2 linked regions of the Mus musculus genome follow. The protein of the gene in region 1 interacts with the protein of each later gene in a biochemical or structural test. Links are inferred from orthologs where the notes say so. Each region holds a gene or a part of one and is shown in the gene's direction. Other genes may lie near its edges.

Region 1 (3,886 bases):
TATAAGTCCCTTCTGAAAGCCACATTTAATGTGAGCATATTGAATCTCTTTTCTTTAAAAGATCAATTTTGAATAAAGTTTTGTTATATATCCATATTTGATTAATCAAAATGCCTGACATGTAAGCATGTAGCTGTAGTAACCCAACTTACTATGTCACAGTTCACCTGTTGTCTTCTCCCATACACAGGCATTGCAAAGGCTGGGCCTACTTTTGGTCTCCTGGTTCCAGCTTTCCTTACTCTCCTAGGAAACAGTCTAACCTGAGCGTGTGATGACTAGAGTGGTAGGGTATGAAGTGTTCTCTATGTTATGATATATTTAAATTTGACTTAGATGAGATATACATTGAAGTAAAAAGTAAAAAAGTATTTCTTATGTAAGATGGAGGAAGGAGCCATTATATCACAGTAATGTCCGACCCATAATCTCTTTTCCCTCATTAAGCAGTCTTCCTTGCATAACTTTCTCCAACAGTAGTCTTTCCCTCCTTTGATACAGAGAGTACTCCTATGCGCACTTCGGACGTGGACTATCGTCTCTTAGAGGCATCGAAAGCTGGTGACTTGGAAACTGTGAAGGTAAGTCAGCGCCTTCACCAAGGCTGTTGGACTCGCGCTGCCCACCTCACTTAAATGGATCTAAACGAAGGGACTCATAGTAGAACAATGGGCAGGGTACATCTACACAAAGAAGAGTACTACCAAGATTTCTCCTAGTATGTCCTTATAGCACCTAAACCATAAAATAAAATAAGATAGACACATACATTTTTATTACATATAATAGCATGAACTTTACTCTATATGTGCATGCATGAGCATGTGTGCACATGTGCCATGGTGCATATGTAAAGTCAAAGGAATCAGTTATCTCCTTCCACCACGGGCAACCTGTGAATTGAATTCAAGCTGCCGGGCTTGGCCGAACGTACCTTTACTCCCATGAGCCATCTTACTGGCCAGAACACAAATTTTAATTTCATATATTTGTGTGCAAGTAGGCAAAATGTGCTTTCAAGTTGCTAAACAATGCATTCACATTAAGAGAAAATTTTATTTTTGACAGTGGAGTGTAAGTGTCTAAAGAAGGCATACAAATTGAGAATTAGGTCTGGTATGTTTTTTCTCAAAAGCTAAGAAATAGAAGTTAGCTGGGTGTGTTAGCTCATGCCTTTCATCCCTTCGGAAAGCCGAGCCATGAGGATCCTTGTGCATTCTGGGATAGCCTGTACTATAAGAGTGGTGCTCTCTCCTCCCCTTCCTCTCTGCTTCTCTGTTTAAAGTATTTTAAAATTTGAAAAACAGGATATAAAATTGTTCTGACATTCATCAAAGAATGACTAGAATCACAAAATTGTGGGACTTAGAGAGCACGTGTCTCTTGACCCACACTCAAGGAGACGGGAACTCTCTTTAGGTTCTTTGGTTCCATGTAGTCAGCTCAGGTTGGTCTGATTTGAGCAGAGACCAAACTAAGCATACCACAGGATGCATCTGTGAGGAGTCTCAGGGAGGGAGGGAGATGGACATGGATGAGACGGGAGGCTTCCTTGGCTGCCCTTGGATATCGGTTAGGTTAGGGACTGGACTAGGGTCTCCAACAAATACTAAATTCCTCTGTACACTCAGCTCTGCTGTCACAGTAATGCCAAACATAATGCAGATTCTCCTTTGGGGCTTTCTGAAACATCATGTGGCCCAGACTGCCCTCAGACTCACTGCGTAACCCGCACTGGCCCCAAATTGGAGGTCATTCTCTGTCACCTTCTCCAGCTCAGGGACTTTTAGGTATGCCTCACCATGTCTGGCTATGGTGCTGATTTTTATACATCTCATCTGTAGAGAATATTTACTATCTCATTATAGTATTTTAAAATGCTGCCCAGTTTAGAGCAAAGTCTATGAACGATTGTTAATGGTGTTGTCTCTGACTCTGTGTCTGTGTGTACACCACAAAAGCAACTCTGCAGCCCGCAGAATGTGAACTGCAGAGACCTGGAGGGCCGGCACTCTACACCCTTACACTTCGCTGCAGGCTATAACCGTGTGTCTGTCGTTGAGTACCTTCTACATCATGGAGCTGATGTCCATGCCAAAGACAAAGGGTATGTGAATGTGCAAATCCATTCATACTTAGATAAAGTACATAAAATTAAATAAAATCGCATACTTTTTATCTACAGAATATAGCTGTTTTCTTTGGAACAAAAAATTTACAAATGACATACTGCTTTTTTAAATATTGCTGTTTTTAGTGTCGTAGATGCTTTTCTTATTAAAATATATACATGATTCATTTAAATTACTACTTAAATAGACATACATATTGAAATTGAAGATTGAGTCATCGGTCACCCTAAAGTTAGAACATGAACAGTTTGCCTATTACAGTCGGCCAGCTCTGTCCTGAGCTGTGTCCAGCAGCTGGCAGTCACTTGGACTGTGACCATGTCTCTTGGCTCGGTGCCTGGGTGAGGATGCCTTTCCAGTCTGCTCTGGTCATCACCTGTTCTTGCACTGTGTCTTCCAATTTGGTGCATCCTTTCATGCCTGTGTATAGGATTTTATTTCCTTTACGAATATTTTCATGTAATCTGTAATTTACTGTTTATCCTTTCATTATTTTTTTTGCTATTAAAAAATTCTTCTAAGAATTTAATCCATCCCACAATTATAATAGAAATATAATTTCGATTCTGCTCATTTAAGTTATTGACATTTTTATATTAGATGAATTACTTGATACACCAGGTAAAACTTTTAAAGTGGCTACTTATAAATCTAAGAATAGTAACCAAAATCAATTTCTGTATCCTGAGTCAGTTTAATAGCTGCTCAGATGAGGGGGCCCCATTTTGTGCACTTACTCAGCATTGCGCCATAAGTAAAAAGATGTAGCTCAGGCTTTGAGTAACTGTTAAGTGTTTTATCTTTCTCAAGCCATGCACCATGCATGACGATTCAGAACCCCTCACTGGTTGTTTCAAAGTACTGCAATGCGTTGGAGAGCAGCCAGTGTTGCTTCTATGACTTAGTTTAGTACTGGCATGTGTCATCATCAAGCCTTTGTTGTAGATGACACTAATCTCTAAAGAGTCACTGCATAACTGATTGTTTTTACATGTCCTACGTCCACGTACGCTGCCTTCAGTGCACGGCTCTTGAGAGGGTGTCTTTTTTTGTGCTGCCTTTTAGAATGTCACCTGCTTTCTTTGAAGGAGCTTACTCAGAAGATGAGAGGTTTAGATTCTCTTAGCTGAGTAGAATTTATAATTGAATTTTATTTTCCTTGATGATATTCTTCTTTTTTAGATGGAGTTTGTTTGAGACAAAGGTTTTCTGTATCTCTGGCTGGCCTGAAACTTGCTATGTAGACCAGGGTGGCTACAAATTCAGAGAGATCTTCCTGCCTCTGCCTCCTTAATTCTAGGATTAAAGGCATGCACTACTATGGCCAGTGTGAATTCTCTTCTGAAATCACTTTGAGTTTCCATTGCTTTGTACCTCAATATTTAAGTCATGCAGAGAAACCGCTCTCGAATCATTATGAACTTAAAAATAACTAAAACAAATGGTGAAAGATACAAACTGAATAAGTAGAATGTATTGTGTTTATGTGTTATATATTACATTATTTTATATTGTGTATCATGAGTAAGCTGGCAATTTTCATTAGTAAAATACAAATCAAAGAAAATCTGAGAGATGATAAAAAGTAGATTGGTTAATTATGTGTGCTAATACTTTGTAGTATACAGGACTTTATATTGCTAGGGTACAAGTAAGAATTGAAAGGATTGTGTTACGCAGACCTGGGGTCCCAGCCATTTGGGAGGCTGAGGCAGTAGGATTTGAACTTGGTGCCTGCTTGGCTTATGGAATGA
Region 2 (4,423 bases), on another chromosome or scaffold:
TGCAGCTCTTTCTAACCTCAGAGGTGTCCATCAAGCCCCTATCTCAACCGCAGGTGAGAGGGTTTTTCTGTTTTGGACTAGTTTTTCTCCATTTCTAACCACCTTCACCATATCCCTTGTAATAATGTTCAAGGACAAGCAAGCAATCTTGTATATATTTTTAATTTAATTTAATTTTTCTGTCATCTCTCCGCCTTCAAGCGTTATTCACCCACATACAAGGAAAACAGCCCCTGGTAGTTGGCTGATCAGCCTTTTGACATTGACGGAGTTACTGTCTGTACCCTCTTTAAATAAGCTGGGACAGGGTCAAGCGGATGGGGACATCTTTTGCAAAGGCTGGGCACCACAGGTCTCTTAGAATTGAGAACTGTCTTCTCAGAGCAGCTGGAGTGGGAGGGGAGCCTTGAGGTTGGAGAGGGTTGGGTTGCCCTCCAGGGCTCTGTGCATTCCATGTGTTTGGCATGTCTCCCTTGCTCTTGAACCAGAGGAGCAGTGTTCACTAGTCACCACCAGAGCCGGAGGGGGGGCTTGAGAGTGGGAGGGTGCTTCAGCAGCCAGGGTGGGAACTGAGGGGGTGGAAGGCCTGAAGAATTTGAGGTGGGGGGGACATGAAGGAATGGTCTAGAGACGCAGCCTACGGTAGGGGGAGAGGTAGGTAGAGGTGGTTACCAAGGATGCTAGTTAGCTCATGGGAGACACTGAATGGAGTCACATTAATAATGGCCAACTGTTACTTACCACTTCCAGGCTTGGTATTTTGCATGCATTGTTTGACTTGAAACTCATTTAATACTTTTTTTTTTTTTTAAGCAGTATGCCTTAGACTAGTCGCACAGCTCTGAAGTGACAGACCCATTTAGTTGTTAGATCTTACAATATCAGCTCCAGAGGCTCCTGGCACAGGCTACTACCATGTGGCTATCATCTGGTTTAGTTTCTTCTGACCCCTCAAAACTCCTTTAGGGTGCACACCCATTCCTATGTCACAGGCTTTTGCAGGTCCCTCCCTGACTGTCCTGGAAGGGGCAACCCCAGGGAGTTTTCCTCTCAGTTACACCCCCCACCCCACAAGCAATCAAGCCCAGTCTGTCCTCCCTGCCCATCCTGGGCCGGCTCCTCCTTCCCCTTGGCTAGGCCCTGGAAATCCAGTGGGAGGCCATTGCTATGGTAACAGGACTAGGCCCTGGCTTTACCTCATCAAATTCCAAGCTGAAGCCAAAACGATTGAGAAATTAAAGGGAAAAAAATGTATTCCAGATGCTTACTTTTTATTTCTTATGTCCCTGTGTTTGGATGAGACAGCTCTTGAGTGCTGGAGGGGGGCAGGGATGTGAAAGGAGAATGGGGGGGGGGTAGGGAGCCACTCCCAGCCGTGGAGGGAGGGAGGAGAATGGGAAGAGGGGGGCCGGCTGTGGGGCGGAGCCCCAGGTTGGGGAGGAGCGGGTTTTTCCCGTCCCATGAGGTGATTCCAGAGACTTGAGAGTTTCTGGCCTTCTTGCTCCGCTCAGAGTGGACACCTCTAGTGGGGCTCCCTGACCCGAGAGGGTTGCCTCAGGAGCTGTAAGTAGGGTATCACAGGACGGATCCTGGGGGTGGTGTGGGTGGAGGTGGCTCCCTCCTGTGCTGGATCACTGAGGTTCAGAGCCAAGGGTTGGAGAGTCGTGTCAAGAGTTGAGGATGTGGCTGTGGGAACCTTCCCGGCCTCCCCCTGGAGTTCGCTCTTCCTGTCCCACACTGCCTGGGTTAGAAATAGACTTCCTTGGCTAAGCCTGTTGCCTTTCTCAGCTTTCCCTTCTCCACCTCTCCCTTCCCTGGGTCTTCAGTCACTTCGGCCGGCTCACACTGCTTCCTATTTCTCAGGCAGGGTGTGCCCTATGTGATGAAAGGATCCACTCTCAGGGAAGGCACAGCCATGGCTTCCCCACTGCCCCAGGATATGGAGGAGGAGCTGGCGCCTGTTGGCTCCGAGCCAGGTACCAATGGGTGCTGGGTGCAGGGTGGGGCCGTTGGCTGGGAGGAGGGCCGGGGGTGGGGTGGAGGCTGCACCCCTCTTCCGTCCCGGCAGGTAGCTGGAGTGACAGTGGAGGTGAGAGGCAGTGAGTCTGAAATGAGTGCTCACGGGCCTTGGCATCTGGTGGGAGTGAGGTAGAGCCCCAGCCGGTATGGAAGCAGAGCCTTTGAGACAACTCCAGGGAGCCTTGGAGGAGGAGACACTGAGGCACAGAAGGAGAATGGAGTGCCCTTCTTTCTCCCTGTCTAGACTTTTTAAATGCTTAGCTGAATGAGTGGGTGATACAAGATTCTATTATAGAAGGTTGTGGCCGTGAGTAATTCCCAAGGTCTTTTATTTGGCATTACAATGCCTTATATAGAAGGTGGATTTCTGCCCTTGTTTTTTTTTTTTTTTTTTCCTTCTTCCTTCCTGTGGCAGATTTACTTCTGTTTGACATAGGTCAATAGAAAGCTTGCATTCCTGATAATGAACTGGATGACTGAGGTGGCAAGAGGAAGAGGTGCAGCAGGGTGTACAAGGGGAGCTCAGCTAGGGTCAAAACTTCACTATGGAAATGTGGTGTAAAGAAATAGGGCTCCATCGGGTTCCCAGGCTGACAGTATGGTGAGGCCAGGCAAGTGGGTATGCTTATCTGCTCCATTCATTCATTCGATAGGAACCTGTGTTAGGAGCAAAATAGGATGCTAGAGGGATAAGGGGTCAAAGCCCACGTTGTAGGAGTTTGGAGAAGGTAGGCTATATAATGGGATGTGAAAAACCAAGGAAGCCTTCCTGGAACAGGCGGTACTGACTTGCACCTAGAACGATGGGTTCCAAGGTTGGAGTGTGGAAGATTCGGTGCAGCAGGAGTCACAAGAATTTATGTCTCATGGTTCTTCTGACAGTTCCTAATGAATCCTTCCTTCCGAAGGTGACCCACGAGCCAAGCCCCCTGTCAAGCCCAAACCCCGGGGCTTGCCCAGCAAGCCAGCTCTGCCTGCCAAACCCAGCCTCCTGGTGCCTGTTGGGCCTCGCCCTCCTCGGGGTCCCCTGGCTGAGCTGCCTTCTGCCCGGAAGATGAACATGCTGGCAGGACCTCAGCCCTATGGGGTCAGCAAGCGTCCCCTCCCGTTTGCACCAAGGCCTTCAGCTGAAGCAACCGCTGGAGGAGACGTTACCCAAGAGTCTGGGAAGGAGGATGCTGGGAAAGAAGACTTGCCCCCTCTCACACCCCCAGCTCGGTGCGCTGCCCTGGGAGGTGTGAGGAAGGCCCCTGCCCCTTTCCGTCCCTCCTCTGAGCGGTTTGCAGCCTGTACAGTAGAAGAAATTTTGGCCAAGATGGAGCAGCCACGGAAAGAGATCCTGGCCAGCCCTGACCGCCTCTGGGGCTCCCGCCTCACTTTTAACCACGATGGCAGCTCTCGATATGGCCCCAGGACCTATGGTGCCCCCTGCCCCAGAGAGGAGGATAGTAAGTCCCCTGCCAAAGGACGGTCCCAGGAGGGGACAGCAGAGATTCCTGCAGAGTGCCAGGAAGAGCATAGCAAGACTCCTGAGGAGAGGTAAGGGCTGAGAAGAGTTTGTATAGTTCCTTGAAGTCTTAAAGGGGCTATGGAGGAAGTGGGCTCAAGTTTGGGTTATCATCTTTACTGTCAGGTTACTTAGGTGAATTCAGGCAAACCCAGGCTAAGGCCCAGAGCATCTCTGTAGCAAATGGTGGAGTTACTTCTCTCTCTCTCTGTGTGTGTGTGTGAGTCTGTGTCTGTGGTGCATGTGTAGTGTTAGGAATTGAACCCAGGGCCTTGTTCATGCTAGACAAGTGCTTTATCATTGAGCTACATCCCCAGCCCACTGTAGTTCTCTTTACAGAGTTGATACGTGTTATGCTAGAGAGGCATACTATTCAGCAGACTAGTTTGTAGTCCATTGAGTACATATCCGTGCTATTTGGAGGAAGGGATTGATAAGTCCATTTTAGAGATTGGAAAATCAAGGCTCCAGAGTGACTTCCTGGAGTCTCTCAATTTAAATCCCGATGTGTATGATTCTAAAACCTGTGATCTTAACTGCTAGGTCTCATGTGGCAGAGCACCATGCGGGGACCTCAGGGAGGGGTATGTTGGAATCTGTACAGTACAGATTTCCCCTCTGAGGAGGAGTGTGATGCGCTTCAACTAATTTCTGCATAGAGAATTCTTCTATTTGGAGACATTTTCTCAGTTGCACTTCTTACCCATAGCCGGCCTGCATGTAAGGGAGGCCTCCTTGGGTTAGTGGACACATGATCTGGAGGGACATGAGGGATTTGGCCACCTCAGGCTTTTCGGGACAAGAGAGCACCAGCCTGAAGCATGCAGAGCTAGGCCCAGTGGTTGGCTTCCCTCTCCCACTGTGGTGGCCAGGCCTGTTGTGGTCTGCACTGAGCCT

Evidence for each region. The genes of interacting proteins can lie anywhere in the genome.
Region 2: the proteins of Tnks (region 1) and Tnks1bp1 form a complex in vitro, tested with the Homo sapiens proteins (2 studies listed by BioGRID). The link is inferred for Mus musculus from reciprocal best matches to the Homo sapiens genes TNKS and TNKS1BP1.

The regions. Positions count from the first base shown.
Region 1 is NC_000074.6:34,854,149-34,858,034, reverse strand, and holds part of Tnks (poly [ADP-ribose] polymerase tankyrase-1), read left to right. Parts: intron 1-501; coding exon 502-581; intron 582-1,961; coding exon 1,962-2,107; intron 2,108-3,886.
Region 2 is NC_000068.7:85,048,998-85,053,420, forward strand, and holds the start of Tnks1bp1 (182 kDa tankyrase-1-binding protein), read left to right. Parts: upstream 1-1,462; 5' UTR 1,463-1,563; intron 1,564-1,863; 5' UTR 1,864-1,882; coding exon 1,883-1,976; intron 1,977-2,927; coding exon 2,928-3,558; intron 3,559-4,423.